2 linked regions of the Arabidopsis thaliana genome follow. The protein of the gene in region 1 purifies or fractionates together with the protein of each later gene. This does not show direct contact. Each region holds a gene or a part of one and is shown in the gene's direction. Other genes may lie near its edges. The genes, in order: AT2G16960 and emb2734.

Region 1 (7,118 bases):
TATTAAGTGTAACAATGATTTTACACCGGTTAGTCTCAAATCAGAGAGATGTGATCTAGCTTATTCTCATTGCAAACAATAACTAGATTGACAGAGTACTTTGAGCAAAAGGTGTTTTAGAGGTATTTACATTTTTGAATCCAAAATGTGATTGTTTGGATTTGGATCCATGGTTTATACACAAACCAAATTGGATTAATGAGAAAGAACTCTATTAATCAAGTTGCAGTTTTATTATAAATAATAGATTTCTTTTATCAACAATAAGATTTAATTGTTTTAGTACTGACATACAGATCGTTTCGTAAAAGGTCAAATTAAGTTTTTGATAGAAGAGAATTTTTTGTCTTAAAAGACTTATAAATCTGAATCCAAGCCAAAACAAGTAAATCAGAAAAAAAAAAATTAAATAAATTTGAAAAACTTCTATAGTAAAGTTCCGTTAACAAAATAAAAATAACATATATCGATCTATATGTACTATCGTCAAAATCCTAAGGATGTCATTAAATTGATACTTTACATTTTTGGTTTGTTAAAAAACGATGCATATTTTTTTTCTGGAACATACGAGAAAGCGATGTTTGTTTTAAAATAATTTTGGATGAATCAATTGAGAAGGATCAATTAATATATTCATATCAGTATCACCCCTGAGTTTTCTTAAAATAATGAAAGTTGAAAATTCTATGTAGAATTTAAGGAGTTAAAACAAACATGGAATTTAAGGAGTCAAAACAAACAAATCTCTTGAACTCGTTAATTGCTTAAACACCATGTTGTGTAGCGTGTCTTGTGCCGGCGAGACTCGAGGCTGTGGTTTTTTCTCCAACGTCATCATGTCTTTTGACAATGACCAATCTTCCATTTCCCGGATTGTCCATGGTCGTGTCTCCGATCTACCATCTTCTCGCATATGACATTGCGTCTTACAACCCTTTTGCTCCTTTTATTGTTTTTAATCTTGTTGTATCAAACATTGAGAATAGTATTCTCCCAAACCTTGTACTACATTTGAGTTATTGAATGGAAAAACAAGCTTTTGCCCAAAGAAAAAAAAGACAAACATGGATAAAAGAGAAGCATGAGAAAGAGAGACGCTAGCTTTACACTTTTCACAATTTTAGGATTTTGAATAAACATAAAAGATTTTGAAAATTTAGGGTTCTATAAACAAACATCACAATGTTTTATGTAAGAAAAATGTTGTTTTCTAACAAACCAAAACAATAACATCATAAAATAGAATATCGTTTAAACAATATATGTTTAGGCAAAATTATAGAAAAACTATTTTCTTATCTTGATACATTTTTTATTGATAATTTAACTAAAGGGTTTAAAATGGATTAACCGACATTTGGGAAGTTGTTTTATTAAACTAACTTACTTAAGGGTTTAAAATTTAGTTGGAGGCTTAAAATTAGATAAGTCAATAGTTGAAGGTTTTTTCATGAAAGTCTTTTTATTTTGAGAAAATACTATCATACCCATTAAAATTAATCTATTAATAAACATACCATTTTAATTTTTTTTTTTTGGAAAATATAAATCTTAACAAACTAAACCCTATTTACATTTTATTTTTCTTTCTCTTTAAATTAGTCGCCGCCTCCTCTCTCCCTCGGGATTCTCGCTCTGATTCGCCTGTCACTGTCAGCCGTATCTTTCTCTCTCTTTCATCCTTTTTCTCCTTTCTTTCACCCCCTTTCTCTCCTTTCGTATCAACTGTGGGTAAATATATTTTCCTTTTTCGTTCATTTTCCTCTCAATTTGTAAAATCTTATACAAGTTTGTTTATGTAATAGTGTTTACTCAAATATTTCATGTTATTTTGGTGTTAGCTTTACATTTTTTCAATTTATTAATGCTTAAAGATTGTTTAATTTAACATTAGTAGACCAAAATTGGTTAACTGGCCTTATTTTGTCTATTTCAGTTGATCTCCAGAATTTCATGGCATATAAGGCATATGTCTTAAAAAAGCTCAATGAAGAAGTATCTCTTACATCATGTAAATTTTGGTAAATGATTTTTTTCTGTTGTTCTGTTTTTTTTTTAATCAAATTATTTTCTAGCTTGTAAAATTGCTTAACTATACTATTGTTTGCCAGGCCTGCATATTGTGATGCTCAGCTGGAACCAAAGGACTTAAAGGAGTTATTGCCACGCCTGATTCCAGTAAAATGATACTTCTCTTTTTCTTCTACTATTTTTTGGGCACATTCTAGTAGTTTGACATTTTAATAAAATTTGGTTTGGATTTATTAGATGTTGCTCTCAGATATGGCTTATGAAGATGACGATGAGACACTTTTGAATGAAGAGGTTTATTTTCCTTTGGTATTACATGTTTTGTCATCTTTTTTCAAATTATATAACGTACGAAAGAATTTCATTTATGCAGGAGGTTGAATCTCAACCAGACATCGATCAGGTGTAGTTGTTTGTTCTTGTGACTTCAATTATTCTTACAAATTACTTTTATTCACATTAACTTTTTTTTAATATTCTTATATGATTTGAAATCTCGTTTTCCATTAATAGGGTCATTTGATATATGCACACAAGTTGTATATGATAGTCTGAGTTATACAATATAAATATATTAAGTATATACATCATTTCTTAATGACTATCTCTAGGCACAAAATGATAAGGAGTGGAATTTAAGAGCATGCAGTGCAAAATTTATTGGTATTCTCGCTAATGTATTTGGAGATGAAATTCTTCTAACACTCATGCCTCTTATTGAGGTAAATATTATTTCTCTCGGTCTATGGAACTTAAAACAATTAGCTAAGAACATGTTCTTCCAAGCTGCAGGCAAAACTATCAAAATTCGATGATGAGACTTGGAAAGAGAGGGAAGCTGCAGTGTTTGCTTTTGGAGCCATTGCTGAAGGATGCAATAGTTTTTTTTACCCTCATTTGGCTGAGGAAAGTTTGTTTATGATCTTTTGTCTATTCATTATTCTTTCTACGTGAATTAACTTCATCAATATGCTAGTGCCTTGTTGCAGATTGTAGCAATCCTTCGTCGTCTTTTAGATGATCAATCTCCTCTCGTACGAAGGATAACGTGTTGGACACTTTATCAATTTGGCACATATGTTTTTGAGGTATGATTTGAACATGATATTTTTTTTTATTCAACTTATTAAAACAATCTTTAGATGATTCGATACTTTACTTTTTTTATAGGAAAGTAATTTGGAGAATAGTAAACTCTTTACAAAAGTTCTTCATGGTTTTCGTTTCAAACTTTTGGATTCGAACATCTGGGTCCAGGAAGCTGCATGTTTGGCTTTGACAACTTTTGAAGAGGTAACTATTGTCTTTGCATTGTTGTATATTATGTCATGTGTAAAGAACTTTTATAGTGTTTTTTCCACACAATTGTTTTTATATATATAGTGTTTAGCAATAGCTTATTTATTACCATCATACCTGAAAAACTTGAGAGAAACTGAAAGAACCTCTACTCTTGAAGAAGAATTTGAAAGAACAAAGATGCTTGAAAGATTCTTGGTAAAATTTAGAGAACTTCGGTTTAGGAACACTTATGATTAAAAATGGAAAGGAAGAAACTATTTATAAGATCCAAAAGCGTGTAGCAATAACTAACCAACCGTGTCTTATTCTTTAGAATAGTCTACCATAGTATATGTATATATAGGTACAAAATATACTCTATCATAATATATACGTCGAACCATTTACTGTAATATCTAGATTTTTATTTTGTAATTGTTAATTTTACGTAAATATTTAAATATTTGTCACATATCATTAGTATGCCTTGAAAAAGAATAGAAATTGGACCTATTTAGTCTAATAAGATAATTCCATCATGAAGCCAAAGTTAAGTTTCACTTACCCCAATCAAGTTTTATTTTAATAATATAGATGATTGTTGACATAAAGTGATTTTTTTGTGAACATGTAGGATGCTGGTGACAAATTAGTACCACACCTGGAAAAAATATTACAACAGCTAATGCGCGCTTTTGGAAAGTATCAGGTCGTTAAATCTTCTTGTAGTTGACTACATTGACATATTAAACAATTTTTATTTGTGACTACCTAACACACACACTATTTTTATATATTCAGAAGAGGAACTTAAAAGTTCTTCTTGATGCTATTAGAGCACTAGCAGATTCAGTTGGAATCAATCTGAACAAGGTATAATGATTAGGTTTGTGAAAGGTTAATTTGTTTCTTGTGAATTTAAATTTATATATAGTTCTTAAAATATTTTCTACCTACTTAAAACTCACCCGTTATGCAGCGTGCTTATATTAAGATTTTGATTCCCCCACTGGTTTCAACGTTGGAACAAATTTCCAATTCAGATAAAGATGTAATTCCATTGCTGAAGTGCTTCACATCCATTTCTAAGGTATGTTACTACTTTTCAAGCTCCTTAAGATTTTTCATATATTACACGAATGTAATTAGTTTAAATAATCCTAGTAAGTGAAGGTACTGAGATTTTGGTACTCTGGAAGTCCGATATTGCTACTAATATTGGGAGATATGTGAATATTAGACAAGTTTATCTTAACAAAATATTAAAATGTTTGCAACATGAACTATCAATTTACAACTAGTTTTGTTTCCATGTTTCAGGCTTTAGAAGTAGGATTCGCTCCATTTTCTTGGTATGTTTTCGAGAGGTGCATGGATATCCTTCAACTACAACAGCTAGCTAAGGTTCAATTCAGAATTCATTTCATTAGAAACAAATCTTCATTTTATTAGGGCTTATACATAACTATTTCACGTTTCTGTTTTTCGTTTGATCATAGCTTGCTTGTGTTGTTTTAGGTTGATCATGATTTTGCCGGGGTTCAATACGACCAAAATATCGTCGTTTGTTCTCTTGAATTTTTTTCTGGACTTTCTAAAGGGCTTGTCAGTGGGATAGAGTCTCTGGTACTCCCTTTCTTGATGTCTTGTTCACATGATTTTCTACTCATAAGTTCTTATCACTCAGTGAATAATTCAATATATCAAAGTTGTTTGTATAATACGACCGAGTCAATTGTCACAACTGGATGGATACTCACATCATCGCTCTTATGCAGGTTTCACAAAGTAATCTAAGGGATATGCTTCTTAAGTGTTTCATGGATGAAACTCCAGATGTTAGAGAAAGTGCTTTTGCCCTTATTTGTCATCTTACAAAAGTAAGTTGTATATTCTTTTATCTGCCAAAATCTTTACCTTTAACATAATTGTTAAATAGCATGGAAAGTGAGAGCTACTCGTTATATGTAAGGTAATATTTTTTGGCTACACTAACAGGTACTCCCGGATTATCTAGAACCCCGCCTGCTTGAGTTCCTCGAAATCGCCAGCCAACAACTGGTTGGTATATCCAAATTATAATGCTACTATACATTTTTTTTTCTATTGTGTTTGATTGTATCTCTGCTTTGTACAGAGTGCAAATTTTAGCGGAGAAAACCTTTCTGCTGCGAATAATGCTTGTAAAGCAATAGGAGAATTAGCGGTCAAGGTAAAACCAAAATGATATTTCTCTATTTATTGTTGAAGTTTCTGGTAAAGAACAAACTCGTGAATGATATGAACTCAATGTTTCAGTATCCTCAAGAAGTCTCACCAATTGTGACCAATGTTGTCTATTCATTAGGCATGATTATTCAACTCGGAGAGGTGACTCTAACAGCCTTATAAGTTAAAGATTTTACTTGCCATGTCTAATTATGCCTCATTTTTTTGTTTGTGTGAATAAGACACTAGAGTTGAAGAGTTTAACTACACTAGTTGAATACAATGCAATTGAACTAGCTATGAACAGTGCAATTACCGTTGGGATACTAGCACGGATTCGTCCAGACCTCAGTGCACGATCCATTGAGAACTTCATGAAGCCTTGGTGCATGAGATTGGCAACGTTAGTGAACCTTTTTGTTGGATTTGGATTCTTTACATACTCTTCCAACCTCTGCTCTATAAAACAATTTCTTATCGTACTTTCTTTTCAGGTTAGATGATGACAGTACAAAAGAAAATGCATTTCAAGGGTTATGTGAAATGGTATTTCTCTCTTTACTTTTTGCTTTGTTAATATATAACATTGAATAACGTTTGATATTTTTCAAGTTTCTTCATAAATTAGGTTAAGGTGAATCCATCAAGATATGTCAGCTCCGTTGCTTTCATATGCTTAGCGATCGCAAGCTGGAAAGTAAGTGAACAAAAAAGAAAATCCTAACTCTATTAGACTTTTTTACTGAGCTTTGAACAATTGGTTGATACATAAATAATGAATTTTTATCATAGGATATGGAAAACAAGGTCATCCAAAGCGAATTCTCCAAAGTGCTGATAGGCTATAAAAACGTAAGATTTATTGAGTTTAAGTTCAGTTTTAACCATCCATCCAACGCGCTTGTTTGTGTACAATAGAAATGGTTAATGTCTTTTACTTTATCTTTTTGGGTTCAGATGCTTGGAAAAAACTCATGGGAAGAATGTCTCTCTGTTTTGGATCCTCTTGCTAAGGAAAGGCTTGCTGCGAGGTATCAAGTGTGACATTGATAGTAAATCGATTAGTCTCAAATGAGAGAGATCTCATTGCAAACAATATTCAGTGTTTTTGCAAAAGACGTTTCAGTTGCATTATTTTTATAAACAAAATTTGATTATTTGGATTTGGATCCATGATTTATACACAAACTAAATTGGAACAATGATAACTTTTCCAATCAAGTTGTGTGAAACCTGCTATGAAAAAAATATAAAAAAGAAACCTGCTATGAGCTATTTTCTGTAACAGTATAATACATTTATACTTAGTATTATAAGCAACATGCTTTTGATGATTAATCCATAGATCATCATTTAAATAAAAATCATTTACTTTTCTTTGTTGTTGATAAACTAATTTAAATTCCGTTGTACAAAGAAAATGGCCATACAGCCGCCAGGGTGTTACACTCAGCCTAACTATTTATAATCTTTCACGAATTAATATATGATTTACCACAAAGACCAATCAATATATTAATATTAGCACGTGGATCGGATGGAAACCTAACGAAGACACATTGATACATTTGCAAGACAACGTATAATTAAGAATT
Region 2 (8,226 bases), on another chromosome or scaffold:
GAATTTTAAACATAGAAGCTGAAACACTTTATAGGATGAGAGGAGAGCTGCGGTTGTCCGGGAAACAGACGGAGTCGTAGTGATTGCAAGAGGAGATGACCGGTGGAGAAGGATTTGAAAAGAGGAGGAAACAGAGAACGACGACTCACGGTTTAATCGGAATTAGGGGTTTAGGTTTGTACCAACACTAATGCACCGGTTTCCAAAATTGGTGTTAACCAATTACGAGTACCATCTAAGAATCACTATGTCATTGCAGGAGTTTCGGCCTCTACCTACAATGATTCTTAATTTTAGATATGCTTTTGTTCCATTCCATTTCATAAACTCGCTTTTCATCCTTTAAAACGCTAAAAGATGGTGAAGGTGAAGACCATTTCTGATTACTTTCATACTTTGTTGACCTAGGTAGGTTGTAGTATGTAGTATGTTCCAAAGCTTGGGATGTTAGCCTTAGCCCATTAAAGTTTTACATGATTTGTTCAGAACGTCTTAGGTAGTTCAGTCTTTCTGTTTACTTTCATTCTTGTCCATCAAATATAGTGTTTTTTTTTCCAACACTCTCATGCCATAAAACTGATCATTAAATAAAAGCAAAGGTCAATCTCTATTTTCCAAATCCTCCACAAAATTCAAAGGAAAAATCTTGAAACACACTTTCATCTATGTCTTTTCCATTACTAAACAAGCATGTGGCCATTTAGTAATTGTACCCAAGGCCAACCCAATCTGACCTAATAGGATTATGCTTTTTTTTCTTTACTTAATATTAAATACAAAATAGTAATGTGTGAAAGTATATAATAAAGAGTTTTTTCAAAAAATATAAAATTCACATAGTTTTAAAAATTATATATCTATATATACATTTTTGCAGCCATTTTGTGAAATAAATCGTGTAGTTGGGACTTAGTTACAATGGTTGCCACTAGATTTTAATGTTTGTTTTTGATAATTAGAATAAAAACTTCGAATTAAATATTTGACATTTAACAATCTTTCTTAAATCACTCAACATTAACTACACCATTAGTTACTAAAATAAAACTTCCAAAATATTTAATATCATCAAACCATAGAGATATTTGATAGCATTTAATTACTACAAAATTACAAAATATTTAGACAATAATTCATAAACATATCATAAATAAGATCAATATTAATAAAATAAATGGTTTTTTTACGGGACGGGTTGGCGGGACGGGTTTGGCAGGACGTTACTTAATAACAATTATAATTATAAAATAAAAATATTTTATAGATATATACAATTTGCAAACTTTTATGTATACTAACTTTAAAAAATAAATTGTTTCTGCAGTATACCGCGGGTTAAAATCTAGTTTATATATATTCGCTAATTTTAAATCAATATTAACCAATACGTTATTCACTCGTTTCAAATACATTAATTCAATAACATTTTTGATATAAAAATTAGATATTAATAAATCATATATTCATATTAAATCCGCGTATTAAATATATTACGATAATTTATAACTATAGTATATTTTTTACTTTTACGTACTTATTTATAAATATATTAATATATACCCTAGGTATGTGAAATTATGAGATTCTGTCATTAGAAAAATATATAAGCTAATGCCACCTATTATTTACCTTTTTTAATAAAGAAAATAATATAAGATAATAATCAAAAATTTATATTCTTAAATAGTTATACCTAGGAAATAATAGAAACTTTAATTTATAAAAAAAAAAGGAAACACGTATTGGTGATCAATTTATCAATCCACCCTTGAAAATACAGCTAATGACATTATCATTGCTTTGCTTTAATTTTTATTTTTCCTTAATTTAATTTACACCACGGCGGCCCCACACCACCCCAAATTACGAATACATAATAGTTGGAAAATAAATGGAAATAAAAATAAAATATATAATTATCCCTTCACAACCTCATCCCTCCTTCGCTACCTTCGGACCTTCCTCATTCCTCCTCTTAGCTTTAGCCACTTTTTAACCCTAGTTTTTCCCGCCGCCACCATCCCCCATGGCTTCCGAGGCGAATCAGCTTCAGCAAGCGCAACTCGCGATGGTTCTCGGCTCCGATTCCGCGCCCTTCGAGACGCTAATCTCTCACCTCATGTCTTCTTCCAACGAGCAACGTTCCTCCGCCGAGTCTCTTTTCAATCTCGCTAAACAAAGCAATCCCGATACCCTCTCTTTGAAGCTTGCTCATCTTCTTCAGCTTTCTCCTCATCCCGAAGGTCGTGCTATGGCCGCCGTCCTTCTCCGGAAGTTGTTAACACGCGACGATGCTTATCTATGGCCTCGTCTCTCCCTCTCCACTCAATCTTCCCTCAAATCTTCGATGTTGTATTGTATTCAACATGAGGAGGCTAAATCGATCTCTAAGAAGATTTGCGATACAGTCTCTGAACTTGCATCCGGGATTTTACCGGAGAATGGATGGCCGGAGTTGCTTCCGTTTGTTTTCCAGTGTGTTACTTCTGTTACCCCTAAATTGCAGGAATCGGCGTTTTTAATCTTGGCTCAATTGTCGCAGTACGTTGGGGAGACTCTTACCCCTCACATCAAGGAACTCCATGGCGTGTTTCTTCAGTGCTTGAGTAGTAATTCTGCTAGCTCCGATGTTAAAATCGCCGCTCTCAACGCCGTGATTAGTTTCGTTCAGTGTCTGGCCAACTCAACGGAGAGAGATAGATTCCAAGATGTTTTGCCTGCGATGATCAGGACGTTGACCGAATCTCTGAACAATGGGAATGAAGCAACTGCACAGGAGGCACTTGAGCTTTTGATTGAATTGGCTGGTACCGAGCCACGGTTCCTTAGACGGCAACTTGTTGACATAGTTGGTTCGATGCTTCAGATTGCAGAGGCTGATTCCCTCGAGGAGAGTACACGTCATCTTGCGATTGAGTTTTTGGTTACTCTGGCTGAGGCGCGTGAGCGTGCCCCTGGTATGGTCAGGAAGCTTCCTCAGTTTATTGACAGGTTGTTTGCTGTTCTTATGAAGATGCTCGAGGATATTGAGGACGATCCTGCTTGGTACAGCGCTGAGACTGAGGATGAAGATGCTGGCGAGACAAGCAACTACAGCATGGGTCAAGAGTGTTTGGATCGGTTAGCAATTTCTCTGGGAGGAAACACCATTGTTCCGGTTGCATATCAGCAGTTTTCTGCTTACTTGGCTGCCTCTGAGTGGCAGAAACATCATGCTTCTTTGATTGCACTTGCTCAGATTGCTGAAGGTTGTTCAAAGGTATAATTTTTAGTGAATAACATGTCTTAATGAACTTTTTCCTTAATTGTTTCATTGTTTTTACTTTCAATTGGATGTTAAATAATGATTGATTCTGAGTTGATTTATCTTTGTGGTTTTCAATCTGATAGTGAATATCTTGAACTTTGATGTAGGTGATGATAAAAAATCTAGACCAAGTGGTGTCAATGGTTTTGAGCCAGTTTCAAAGTCCTCATCCTCGCGTAAGGTGGGCTGCTATAAATGCGATTGGACAGTTGTCTACAGATTTGGGTCCAGATTTGCAAAACCAACATCATGAGAGAGTGCTCCCCGCACTTGCTGCTGCTATGGATGATTTCCAGAATCCACGAGTGCAGGTAAGATCCCCTGTTTCTCTGTGAATATAATCTTCTAACACTTTCTAAAGCAGTACCTTGTGACCTTTTCATGTAGGCTCATGCTGCTTCAGCAGTACTCAACTTCAGTGAAAATTGTACTCCTGAAATATTGTCACCTTATTTAGACGGAGTAGTGAGCAAGTTACTTGTGCTACTACAAGTAAGTCCATTGTGTAAATTATTTCTTAAGATAAATAGCTAAAAAAGAGCAAATATTTTGCACTCTATTGATTTTAAATGATTAACTTTGGATTATAATGGTGTTTCGTACAGAATGGTAAACAAATGGTGCAAGAAGGAGCTTTAACTGCTCTTGCTTCAGTGGCTGATTCATCACAGGTATTTGTAAAGAAGTTGTGTTGCATCTATTGTTTTCCCTACATGCAACTCTTGATCTAAGTCTAACATAATCTAAATTTGTAGGAACACTTTCAAAAGTACTATGATACTGTCATGCCTTATCTCAAAACTATTTTGATGAATGCAACTGACAAGTCTAAGCGGATGCTTCGTGCCAAATCCATGGAGTGCATCAGTCTTGTTGGAATGGCAGTTGGAAAGGACAGATTCAAGGAAGATGCTAGACAGGTATGCTTATATGCGAGGGTCAAATCATGATGCTATCTATATCCAGTAGTTCTATTCATCATCGCATGAAAATATTTCACATATCCATGCCAGGTCATGGAAGTGCTAATGTCATTGCAAGGTTCTCAGATGGAGGCAGACGATCCAATAACAAGTTACATGTTACAGGTGATTTCCTACAACATGCTAGGTCTATCTGTTATTTATAAACATAGAGAGGTAAGTTCGCTTGCTTACATTTACCTTACACTCTCGTAGGCATGGGCTAGGCTTTGCAAGTGTCTAGGTCAAGATTTCCTCCCATACATGAAGGTTGTGATGCCTCCTTTGCTTCAGTCAGCTCAACTTAAGCCAGATGTAACAATTACATCTGCTGATTCAGAAGATGAAGCAGAGGATTCTGATGATGAAAGGTTTCCATTCTTCTTGACACTTATCTGATTGTTATGATATCTCTATGCCTTTGCATAGAAAATTAATTCTTCTCTGTGTTGTTGGGGGTGCAGCTGCCCTGCATTTTTTTCTTGAGATATTTAACGATGTTGAGATTCTGTCCATATAATGATATGATATGTTCATAAATAACATGCATAAATCTGGGCTATTTCCCTCTCTTGATACAGCATGGAGACCATTATCCTGGGCGACAAAAGAATAGGGATCAAAACAAGTGTTCTAGAGGAAAAGGCCACGGCTTGTAACATGCTTTGTTGCTATGCTGATGAGTTAAAAGAAGGATTTTTTCCTTGGATTGATCAGGTTTGTAATGTTAAATAACTCCAAATTGTGTCAATATCTGGTATTGTTGTTGGGTTCGGGAGAGTAAATTTTTATACTGTAGGTTGCACCTACATTGGTTCCTTTACTGAAATTCTATTTTCACGAAGAAGTTAGAAGAGCAGCTGTTTCAGGTATATCAGAAAATATATCATCTATAATCTACTGTTTTGATCATTAGAACACAAGTTTCTAAGAATTTGGATAATTTTTCTTTCTAGCCATGCCGGAACTAATGCGCTCAGCCAAGCTGGCAATAGAGAAAGGGGAATCTCAAGGGCGAGATCTATCATATTTGAAGCAGCTTTCTGACTACATTATTCCAGCCATGCTGGAAGCTTTGCATAAAGTTAGTGTGTGTTCTGTTCATTTTTACTTTTCTCTTTTTGGCTTTGATTCACTTTTTTTGATGGGGCGGAGGATTGTATTTTATGTAGGAACCTGATACAGAGATCTGTGTGAGTATGTTGGAAGCTATCAATGAATGCTTGCAGGTAAATTTTCATTACCAGATGTTGGGACTTCTTTTTTATGTGCTTCTTGAATGCTGCATTTTCCTTGGTAGTCGTGCTGTTTTTTCTTCTTAATTAGGTCACCTATTTGGTTTCTTGTTGTTGAAATCCTCTAAAGAAGACATGGTGGCCTTTTTTGTTTTCTTTGCTTCGTCACTTGTCAATTTTCCTTCTGAGCATAGATTTTCATCCTTTCCTAGGGTTAGGGTATGTGATAGAGATGTTACGTTGAACAAGTCTTTATTGTGTGCCCTCTTGGAGTAAATTGTAGCATTACAATGGAAAATGTTATCTTATAACCTTTGTTTCCAGATCTCTGGAAATCTTTTGGATGAAGGGAAAATTAGATCCATAGTTGATGAGATAAAGCAAGTTATGACCGCAAGCTCTAGTAGGAAGCGAGAGAGGGGAGAGAGGGCCCATGCTGAAGACTTTGACGCTGAAGAGGGAGAGCTTATTAAAGAGGAAAATGAGCAAGAGGAAGAAATTTTTGATCAAGTCAGTTTTCGCTGATTCACCCTTTGAAAGTATACTATCTTCAATGTTCTAATTTTTGTTTTTGAAATAGGTCGGTGAAATATTGGGAACATTGGTTAAGACATTCAAGGCCTCATTTCTACCTTTCTTCGATGAACTGTCCTCTTACTTAACTCCTATGTGGGTATGTGGCCATCATCACCCAAGTCTTTTATTTTGAATTGTTTTTGTTATTGACAGAACCTCGTAGATTCCCTAACATATAAGTACATAACTGAAGTGATATAGTATTAGTGAAAAAGTGTAGAAAATTATGGCACTCTGGTTCAGGTGAATGTAGTTTCTAAATTCTGTGGCTGTTACCATGTCTCTGGTACAATATTAGTCTTCGTTCACCTTATGTGTATTCGATGAATTCAGGGAAGAGATAAAACAGCGGAAGAGAGAAGGATTGCTATATGCATTTTTGATGATGTAGCAGAACAATGCCGTGAAGCTGCCTTTAAGTAAGGATACGCATCCACTGGATCATTTTACATTTGTAGGTTTCCAGTTTTAGAGTTCTGATAAGACACCTTATATTTGTTTGGCAGATATTATGATACCTATCTTCCATTTGTACTGGAAGCTTGCAATGACGAGAGCCCAGAGGTTCGACAGGCTGCTGTTTATGGGCTTGGCGTTTGTGCTGAGTTTGGCGGCTCTGTATTCAAGCCTCTTATTGGAGGTATGACATACCTTTGCCCACTGGTAGGTTTTTGGGCTTTGATCCATACTTGACAGTTAAGTAACACATGATTTTATGTCAACAGAGGCTCTGTCAAGATTAAATGTTGTGATACAGCTGCCAAATGCTCGGCAATCTGAAAATGCCATGGCATATGATAATGCTGTATCAGCCGTGGGAAAGATCTGCCAATTTCACCGTGATAGTATTGATTCTTCTCAGGTAGATTATAATAGTTATTTTGGTTTCGCCATCGTACCCATACATGTGGTTGGTTTTGATGATTCACAAGTTACCTTGTTTTGGTTTTATTAGGTACTTCCTGCGTGGTTGAACTGTTTGCCTATAAGCAATGATGTCCTTGAAGCCAAAGTGGTTCATGATCAGCTCTGCTCAATGGTTGAAAGGTAAGCAATTGCGTTTAGATTCTAATTTTACTTTCGTTTTCATTCCTTATGACTATCTAAAACAGCTTTGATTGATGATAAACTTGCAGGCAAGATGTAGACCTTTTAGGCCCCAATAACCAGCATCTTCCGAAAATCTTAATAGTTTTTGCCGAGGTTTGTTAGTTACGCTTTGCATAGACAATTTTCATTCTTTGATCTTTTGCATTATTGTCTTACTCATAGAGAAAATCAATGTGTATATCGTTGGCCAGGTACTTACAGGGAAAGATGTGGTGACACAAGAGACAGCAGGTCGTATGATAAATATATTAAGGCAACTTCAACAGACACTGCCACCATCGGCGTTGGCCTCAACATGGTCAACGCTGAAACCCGAACAGCAGCTCGCTCTCCAATCCATGCTTTCCTCCTAAATTCAATCCAATCCGATCTCTCTGTTTATTTTTACAGTTTTGTGAGCTCTGTTTTCACCACAAAGCGTCGTCAGTTTTGCATTTATGTGTTTACAAAAGTGTTTCTTCTTCTTTTGCATTTTTCATCTAATTCTTTTGGGAGGGATGATGATGGGTCGGTCCATCCTTCAGAAGTTACAAAATGAAAATTTCTATCTTTATGGTAGGAAGTGTATATTAGGAGGGAAGGATGAAATTGTTAGTGAAATGTGTCATTGGGTATGGTTCCCCAAATACACAGGTCTGCTGTTGGTGTCGGTGTTGGTTTGGGTTTGAGAGTGGGATGAAGTTTTGGTGCTTTATACGAGAAGGAACAAAACAGAAAGATTTGATTTTGAATTTTTGTTTTTGTATGCAATTGGGAATTTTGGAAGAATGATTCTTTTCTCTCATTGCCTTTGTTGATTTGTACTCTTTTGGACACTCTTCTTTGGCCTTTTCTTAATAAAAGAAATGTCTTTTTTATTTAATTTTATTATATCGTTGTCATATGATAAATTTATCAGACAGCAGCTAAGCATGTCAATAAAATGTTTTTTAAGTTTTGTCTGGAAAAATTGATGCGCCGGGCCGCCGGCCACGAGATGGTCACTGCAAAATGTTTGGACCCACCCATTACATTTCTCATTTATACCACACGTCTT

Evidence for each region.
Region 2: the proteins of AT2G16960 (region 1) and emb2734 fractionate together in Arabidopsis thaliana (co-fractionation; one large-scale study listed by BioGRID). This does not show direct contact.

The regions. Positions count from the first base shown.
Region 1 is NC_003071.7:7,362,397-7,369,514, forward strand, and holds AT2G16960 (ARM repeat superfamily protein), read left to right. Parts: upstream 1-2,286; coding exon 2,287-2,328; intron 2,329-2,407; coding exon of another isoform or gene 2,408-2,437; intron 2,438-2,645; coding exon of another isoform or gene 2,646-2,660; coding exon 2,661-2,756; intron 2,757-2,826; coding exon 2,827-2,934; coding exon of another isoform or gene 2,935-2,940; intron 2,941-3,023; coding exon 3,024-3,122; intron 3,123-3,204; coding exon 3,205-3,327; intron 3,328-3,949; coding exon 3,950-4,024; intron 4,025-4,116; coding exon 4,117-4,188; intron 4,189-4,294; coding exon 4,295-4,405; intron 4,406-4,635; coding exon 4,636-4,719; intron 4,720-4,833; coding exon 4,834-4,941; intron 4,942-5,093; coding exon 5,094-5,195; intron 5,196-5,313; coding exon 5,314-5,376; intron 5,377-5,452; coding exon 5,453-5,527; intron 5,528-5,613; coding exon 5,614-5,685; intron 5,686-5,765; coding exon 5,766-5,926; intron 5,927-6,017; coding exon 6,018-6,069; intron 6,070-6,151; coding exon 6,152-6,220; intron 6,221-6,315; coding exon 6,316-6,375; and 3 more.
Region 2 is NC_003076.8:6,695,048-6,703,273, reverse strand, and holds emb2734 (ARM repeat superfamily protein), read left to right. Parts: upstream 1-1,918; 5' UTR 1,919-2,026; coding exon 2,027-3,259; intron 3,260-3,414; coding exon 3,415-3,618; intron 3,619-3,694; coding exon 3,695-3,799; intron 3,800-3,912; coding exon 3,913-3,978; intron 3,979-4,062; coding exon 4,063-4,227; intron 4,228-4,320; coding exon 4,321-4,395; intron 4,396-4,485; coding exon 4,486-4,640; intron 4,641-4,850; coding exon 4,851-4,986; intron 4,987-5,068; coding exon 5,069-5,138; intron 5,139-5,225; coding exon 5,226-5,353; intron 5,354-5,441; coding exon 5,442-5,498; intron 5,499-5,828; coding exon 5,829-6,014; intron 6,015-6,084; coding exon 6,085-6,177; intron 6,178-6,413; coding exon 6,414-6,499; intron 6,500-6,586; coding exon 6,587-6,720; intron 6,721-6,805; coding exon 6,806-6,942; intron 6,943-7,035; coding exon 7,036-7,127; intron 7,128-7,216; coding exon 7,217-7,283; intron 7,284-7,381; coding exon 7,382-7,543; 3' UTR 7,544-8,100; and 1 more.